Linked DNA regions of Drosophila melanogaster. The protein of the gene in region 1 purifies or fractionates together with the protein of each later gene. This does not show direct contact. Each region holds a gene or a part of one and is shown on either strand. Other genes may lie near its edges.

Region 1 (3,755 bases):
AGGAGGAAATCGAGATGTGTTCGGAAGGATCGGCGGAGGCAGAGGAGGAGGAGCTGGAGGTTATCGAGGAGGAAATCGAGATGGAGGGGGCTTCCACGGTGGACGTCGCGAGGGAGAAAGGGACTTCCGCGGTGGAGAAGGCGGCTTCCGCGGTGGACAAGGCGGCTCCCGCGGTGGACAAGGCGGCTCCCGCGGGGGACAAGGCGGCTTCCGTGGTGGAGAAGGCGGCTTCCGCGGTCGGCTGTACGAAAACGAGGATGGTGAGTAAACCTTTTGGACGACATGTTAAATTTTGGGTTATGGTCATTTGAGTCATTCCTGCTGAATTCCATGTGGTGTGCTTTGTTTTGTCAAGTAGTTTGTTTTCTTTTGTTTTGTGTATGCATATTTGCCCAATTGGTGGCAAATTGGCCAACATTCTAGCTAAGGAACTGCCGCCGATCCCATCTAGCTGCGATAAGGATGAGGTGGGCGCATTCATCGATCAGCTGGACTTGAGCAAGTACACGACCAGCCTAGCACTGATTCGAAAATTGCGTGACTACTTGCTGACTGCATTTAAGGCTTTGGTGAACCAAGCATGGGCTTCTCTCGAGAAATTAGCTCAAGAAAAGCGTGCACAAAAGGCACATCAGATACGCGAAACAACAGATATGATGAATCGCCTTATGGAGGACATGGGCCGATTGATTCGTGAAGGTGAACATGAGGAAGCAAATGGGATTGGGATGGGATTTCAAAGCATTGATGCGGATTGCAGAGCTGATTTGTCGCAATGGAGGAATTTACAGCAAGTTGTGATGCCGCAATCTTCGGAGATCAGAGATGGACAAACAAACAGGACAAGCGGTACTGAGGGCGGTCGATCAGGAGGTTTAACCGATGGCGATGACTTAACCGAAATACAAAGCGCCGCATACGCCGTGTATCATCAGGTTTTGGATCGAGGTTACCAAACGGGTCGACGGCTGTATGATGATAATCAAGGAGCATTGAGAGAAGATTCTATTCCAACAGAAGACCGAGAACACCCAGAAAATAATCAAGTGGATGGATCAACATATGGAGTGACTAGATTTCTGCACTGGCTAAGTGAGAACTTTGTCACTCGGCATGAAATAAGGGCCGTACGTTTTGGCAGTCCGCATATGGTTTTTCAATCTTATGACTGGCCAGAGTCTCCAAAGCAGCACATTTCGACGGTCCATCAAAAAGGCATATTTTATTCTCAGCCCTTAATTAGGACACGCATAATAGCCACTGTTGCGAGCGAGCCAAACAATTCGAGTAGTGGTCAGCTCAGCAGTATGGTAAACTTGGCACGACATCAGCGGTCGCAAAATCAGGAAACGCCAGATGGAATTTACGTTAGTCGCTACAATGCAACTGGAGATGAGGAGACTCCCTGCTCCGCAACCGGAGTCCCCGGCAGAGTTGTGGCTCTGCGTGCTTCGAGCACCCCAAATGAACATAGGAGCGATCCAGGGTACTTAAACCAACTCTAACTAGTCTAGTCTAGCGCTTTTCTTTCTTACCATCTATGGATACTTTTTATTCCCTTTTTCCAATGAGCGGTTGTGTAGAAAAGAGCAGATTTCAAACATTTAAAGATTACATAAAAGAAAAAAAAAAACACCAAATTTAGCCAGACACCGAAACAATTTATAGGAAATTTGATTAGAGAAGTACCTTAATGCAGTATAAATTCAGCTTACTTTTCTATATGTACATATTTTCCATCTCTTCGCTTACTTTCGTTTCCTTCTCTATAACTTAAATGAACACATAAGCTAAGTAATGTCCGTTTCACAGCTTGTCTTTTATACCCAATTTGACTTACGAAGATGGGACCATACCATCATTGGCAGCAGGCGGCGCTGCATCGACACCGTTGGCTCCATCACTGCCAGCAGAGCATTCATTGGGGTTAGAAATGGATAGCAACACTTTGGTGGTACCAGCTGATGCGGATGAAACCCGCTTAGTCGGACATCCAGGATCAACAGTGGTTCGTTCTCGGCTTGGAGGCCCTCCAGCATCAACACCTTTACTATCATTCCGACCTAGACTGCCGGTCATTGACGAAGAGCATCATCTACGCTTTACCAGGGTGTCACGCGAGCTGCAAATGAGTGTTGCTTTCCCGCCGGAAGAGACAACACTAAGCGAGCAACGTGAGTGGGGCTCGATTTTCCGACCACGTGATGAAATGGTTAACTATGCCGAAGGTCCACCTCCTCGCCAAACACAAAGGGCGCGTCGTCGCTCGCGTACACGCAGACGACGTAATCGTATCGCTTCAGCTGCCAGCCCGCAACTAACACCGGAACGAATTGTCCGTCGCGAGGAAGCCTTCCAAAGCAGCCGACATATTGCAGCCACTTTTATGTCCAGCTTGCTACAAAATGCAGCTGGAGAAGTGACGACGTCTTCAGGTCTGGCAGTAACCCGTTCAGTGAAAGAAATAACGACATCAGTCCATATCACCCGAAATGTACTACAAGAGGAGGTACCACCGACCACAGAAGCAACGACGACCTCCCTAGAAGTTGCACAGGCAACAGGGTATTCGGATTCTGGGGCTTGTATGCAATCTGCAGCGTTCTCTCAAGATCTTCCTGTAGTAGCTCCCTTGGAGATATCTGGAAATGCATCAAGTGACCAAGCATCATTTGATCAAGCTTTGGCCTTACTGCCTCCCATAAATTCCACTCCAATAGGTCAGCATCCAATTGCTGTTTTCGGACCTAAAACCGAAATTGAAATTAAACCCCAAAAAATGGACATCTCTAATATGATGAATACATCGGTTCCACCAATGCCAATGGAAGTCGACGAAGTTCCACTGGAGGTATCAAACACTTTGGCCAATATGAGCGATCACGCTTATGTGACTGATATACAGATACTACCGTCGTTGCAACTCAATTCTTTGAATCTTGTTAGCACCAATATTACAGACAATGCAGTAAATATCGCCCCATCGACATCAACAAATGATTTGCAAACGCCAAGTGACCGCAGAACATCAATGCAAAATCAACTATATCGAGTGTCCATGAACGATTTGGCATATATTTCACAACACGCTAATGTGGTTCGTCTGATGGTAGATCGTCAAGAGGAACTAGGGGCACAGGTCAGCTCCCTGGGGCCTTTTAAGGAAAATAGCCAAGGCGCGCTAAATTTTAGTACAATGCCCGCTGTCAAAGTCTACGATCCACGTATAATTCAGAACATTCAGAAGGATAAGATGAGAGTAGTTCATGGGCTCTTCGGTGCTCTTATCAGACAGTCCCAGGTTGATATGCACAATGCACCATTCATCCGAAATCGCAAGGATGCGTTGATGGCATATCGCTTTTTACTCGAGCTTAAGACTGCAAATATTATAAGTCTTAGCTCGGATGGTAGATTTTTCGGGCTGCTCTAATCAAATAAAAAGCATTTTAATTTTAAAAATACAAAAAAAATTTAATATTAGTTTGCTTAAATAATTTAATAAAGTTGAACGTGGTATTAGAATCATCGCCATTTCTTATTATTCGTTGACATTAAATTGTTATATTGTCCGTGATTAGCTAATAAATTGGTACAGAAACAGTATTAAAATAAAATACACAATTTAAAAATGAATTTTAGTTTTGGTTATGAATTTTTATGAACTGTATTTCGTCTGCTTAAATTTAAGTGAATAAAATTGTTATGAAAATCAAATATTTTCTAGGTGATGAACGTCGTGGAAGACTAGATCG
Region 2 (3,755 bases), on another chromosome or scaffold:
CTCCTTGGTTTCCACTAATCATGTTCTTGTACTTATTAATTAGGGGCCGAAGGTCATCCGTTTCCTTCTTGCGTCCTTGCTTGGGCCGATTATTTGCCTTGCGCTCTGCCAGGTGGGACTCGCGTATCTTCTTGTTCTTCTGCTTGCGCTTTTCGGTTTTCACCTTCTTCAAGTGTTCCTTGGCCTGCTCTACAATCTTCTTTTTGGATCGCATCTTCAGCGAGGTGCCCGGCTTGGCGGCCGTGCCGACAAAATCGCCCTGAACATCGCTCAACTGCTTTTTCTCCGCGACTTTACCTTCGGCTTTCGCTGCTCGCGAAGCTTCAAGTTTCTTAATGTGTTTCTGAAGTTTGCTTTTATTATCTGCTTGGGGAACTGGAGTTTTGGTCTCCTGACCATTGCGCTTTTGCTGGCGTCGCTCCTTGCGCTCCTGCTGTTTGTTTTGGTATGTGGGATTGTTCTGCTTTGAGCGCTCCGTGCGCTTTTCTTTGATTTTGTGCACAGCACGATCCTCTATACTGAACGCGACAATGGGGCGCTAAGGGAGTGAATAGTTAGCAAGTGAAATTAGCAAGAGTTGTCTAAAAGTCCTTACACTCTGTGTTCCGAAGATATTGGGGTTGTTGTTTAGTTTCCGTAGGGCGGCCAAAGCTCTCTGATGCGTGTCGAAGGATAGGAAACCAAAGCCCTTGGACTTGCCCTGTGGATGCTCAGGGGTCACCTTATGTTCCCTCATCACCCGGCATTCGTGGGGTCGGAAGCCAGTATAAGTCAGAGCCATTTGTTTCAGCTTTTCATTGTCATAGTTTTGGGGGAGATTGTGAATGGACAAGCGATTCCGGGAAACAAACCTAGAGGATTATCAATTGGATTATAAATGAATCGGTCATGTACTTAGTTTCAGTCTTACCGATTCAAGTTCTTGAGCACCTGCGTCTTAACCTGCTCAAGTTCATGTCGCTTGGCCATGTCTGAGGCAGAAACCCCATCGGCTGCCTTCGCTCCAGCCATGATTAGACCTTCCCTGGCCAAATACAGGTTTCGTGAGTCCTTGGCATCGTCTTTTTTGTTTTCCTGCGACTGCTTCGACTTCATTTCCTCGCGGCTCAATGCGGGATGAGGATCCAGGACCTCGTCCATCAACTTAAACTCTGTTCCAGCTTGCAGACAAAGATCCGCTGACTCCTTGGCTTTGAATTTAACGAAGGCTGTACCCTTGGAGTGGCCAGAAACCGCCTGGCGATTAATAATGGCGTAGCTGACCAAGCCGAATTTGCGGCACGCCTTTCTCAAGTCGGCATCCTCTGCATCGAAGGGAACGTTTTTAATGAAGACCGTGCAGCCCTCCTGGACGTCGTTGGAGATTTGCTTTTCCCTTTTGACATTTTTGATATCCAATTTTGATTTTAATTCGTCCTTGTTCTCCTTATGATCTTCGTCGTTCTCTTCGTCTTCAGATTCTCCAGAGTCCTCTTCATCTTCGCCGGATTCCGCATCAGAATCCTCCCCAGAACTTTCATCTTCCTTGCCAACTTCCGCGTCGCTTTCCTCCTTAACTTCCTTCTCGTCACCGTTTTCCTCTTTCACTTCCACCTTTGGCTTCTTCTCATCCGGCTCCTCGTCTTTCGGGTTCTTTGATACATACTCGTCCTTGCCCAAAGCCCAGTCCACAAATACCTTTCTCCCGAGCAGCTCTTTGCCGTTGGAGTTCAGGATCGCTTTGGTGGCCTGGTTAATGGTCTCGTACTGGACAAAGGCGCAGCCCACCAGCTTCCCGTCACCTCGTTTCAGGATGTGTACATCCTCCAGCGTGCCCCACTGCCCGAAATGCTCGCGAAGCGAGTCCTCCGTGGACTTGTAACTGATGTTGCGCACGATGAGACGCGCTCGCTTTTTCTGGCGGCGCTCCTTCTCTTCCTTCAGCCTCTGTGTGTTAAAGGGGTTGCGGCGCTTCCGGACCCCGGTTTCTGGCTGAGATTGGGATTCGGCAGCGTCGTCTTTTAAAGATTTCATTTTTTTAAGTTCCATTTGCACGTGGAACTCTTGATGAGAACTAACGAACAAAACAGCTGATCGGCAAAATACCCAAAATGAAGGTCCATCCCTGGTATAACCGATAGAAAATGGGCGGGAATTTACAAACATTTCAAAAAATGTTTTTAACATTTTATTTGTAACAATTATCAACAATTAAAAAGTCTACGTTTCTTGTTTGGTCGCGAACAGTTGGTGGAACTCCGAGGGGGTCTTGAAGTAATCAACCAGAAGCATTGAGGAGCGGTTGCCCAGTTTGTACATAATGTGGCTCCAGGGATTTAAAAAATTCTTGTATTCAGCTATTTGACCGCGTTCAAAATAGTGTTTTACAGTTCCAATGGGTAGTTGGGACCCATAGACAGCCACGTATCTAAAAATAAAGTAAGTTACTACTTATAAATGTCATGTACTACCGTACAAAGTTACTTTTCCGAGCTCTTGTATATTCTCAGTGGATATTTGGCGACAAAAGCTCGAATCGCCAGGTTTATAAGCAGAAATCCACCCACAAAGTAGTACAGATCTGATTCCTGGGACACCAGAATGGCTATGTCCATTTTCTGGACCATATCCAGGTAGTTTATGGTTGTGGCATAGTGATAGGCGGCCACCGCAGCAAGTACAGTGGTCGTGGCAGTGGATATATTCTTCGTCCAGGTCACGTAGCTCTCGATAGGGGCCCGGTAAATCAGTTTATAGTTATCTGGTAGCCTGTCGCCAAAGAGGAGCTTCCGTTCCACTTCGCCGGAGGATGCATTCCGCCATTTGCGGAGCACGCTGCTGGTGCTAAATGAGAAGGTGCAGAGTGATTCAATCGGATAGGTCAATGGATAGGTCTTACTGTAAGAGCTGGAAATTCGGTTTAGCTAGTATTGGCCGTAAATAAACCAATTTAACACTTCGTAAGAGGGCCGCACACATTTTGTGTTTTATTATGCTGTCTTTGAAAACAATCTGGCAACGTGATCAGCTGTGCTGCAATCAGCGGCACTACCCGATGGTTGTCAAAGAAGAAGGTCTGGCAACGTATGTGCTTGAGGAATGCACCGAAGAATAATCAGCTGTGCCTCGAAGTTGCCGGATCACCAGGTCGCAGCAGCTATGAGTTTTGCGTCAGACTCGAATAATGATTAGAAGCCGACTCCTTCCGGAAACATTCATTAGGTAAACAACACAGCTATAGAACAGACTTTTCCAGTTTCCACAACTTTAGCTAGGAACACGTTCCACATTTTTCCACATTTTTGATACCTTAACAAAATGGATTCAAAACGCGCGGCCCTTGAATCCGGCGACGGTCCGGACGCCAAGCGCCTTGATACCACCGATGATCAAGACAAAGAAGCGTCGGGGGGCGACGGCAGTCAGGTTATGCTGGCCAAACACGTAGCACCCTACACGGGCCACGGATGTACTCCACCGATGGAGTCCTATTTGTTCGAACCGACTCCCGCCGGGAGTCAACTTCTGCCGTGGAAAACTAGCGTTGATTTGGACAACGACGCCGAGCTGGAGAAGCCCACCAGTGACAAGAAACGTAAGTTGATGGTACGCTCACATCCTAGTACTCTTATACAACAATTTCATTCAGCCGACACTGCCAAGTTGTCCCGTCGGGAGCTGGCCAAAATGCGCCGTGAACACACATTAAGGGCCCTCGCCCTGGAACGCGAGTTGACCAACAAACCGGGGCAGACACCCGCTTCCGAAGTGTTGCT

Evidence for each region. Proteins that work in one complex are often made in the same cells at the same time.
Region 2: the proteins of vig (region 1) and CG4806 purify together in Drosophila melanogaster (affinity purification with mass spectrometry, with the first as the bait; one large-scale study listed by BioGRID). This does not show direct contact.

The regions. Positions count from the first base shown.
Region 1 is NT_033779.5:15,068,611-15,072,365, forward strand, and holds the start of vig (vasa intronic gene), read right to left. Parts: upstream 1,707-3,755; 5' UTR 1,536-1,706; intron 1,487-1,535; coding exon of another isoform or gene 424-1,486; intron 261-423; coding exon of another isoform or gene 1-260. Other genes in the region: solo (sisters on the loose), read left to right, coding at 1-260, 424-1,486, 1,813-3,433; vas (vasa), read left to right, coding at 1-260, 3,728-3,755.
Region 2 is NT_033778.4:24,666,274-24,670,028, forward strand, and holds the start of CG4806 (uncharacterized protein), read right to left. Parts: upstream 2,071-3,755; 5' UTR 2,029-2,070; coding exon 911-2,028; intron 852-910; coding exon 596-851; intron 539-595; coding exon 1-538. Other genes in the region: CG33228 (uncharacterized protein), read right to left, coding at 2,200-2,407, 2,464-2,823, 2,879-2,958; Pof (painting of fourth), read left to right, coding at 3,298-3,574, 3,629-3,755.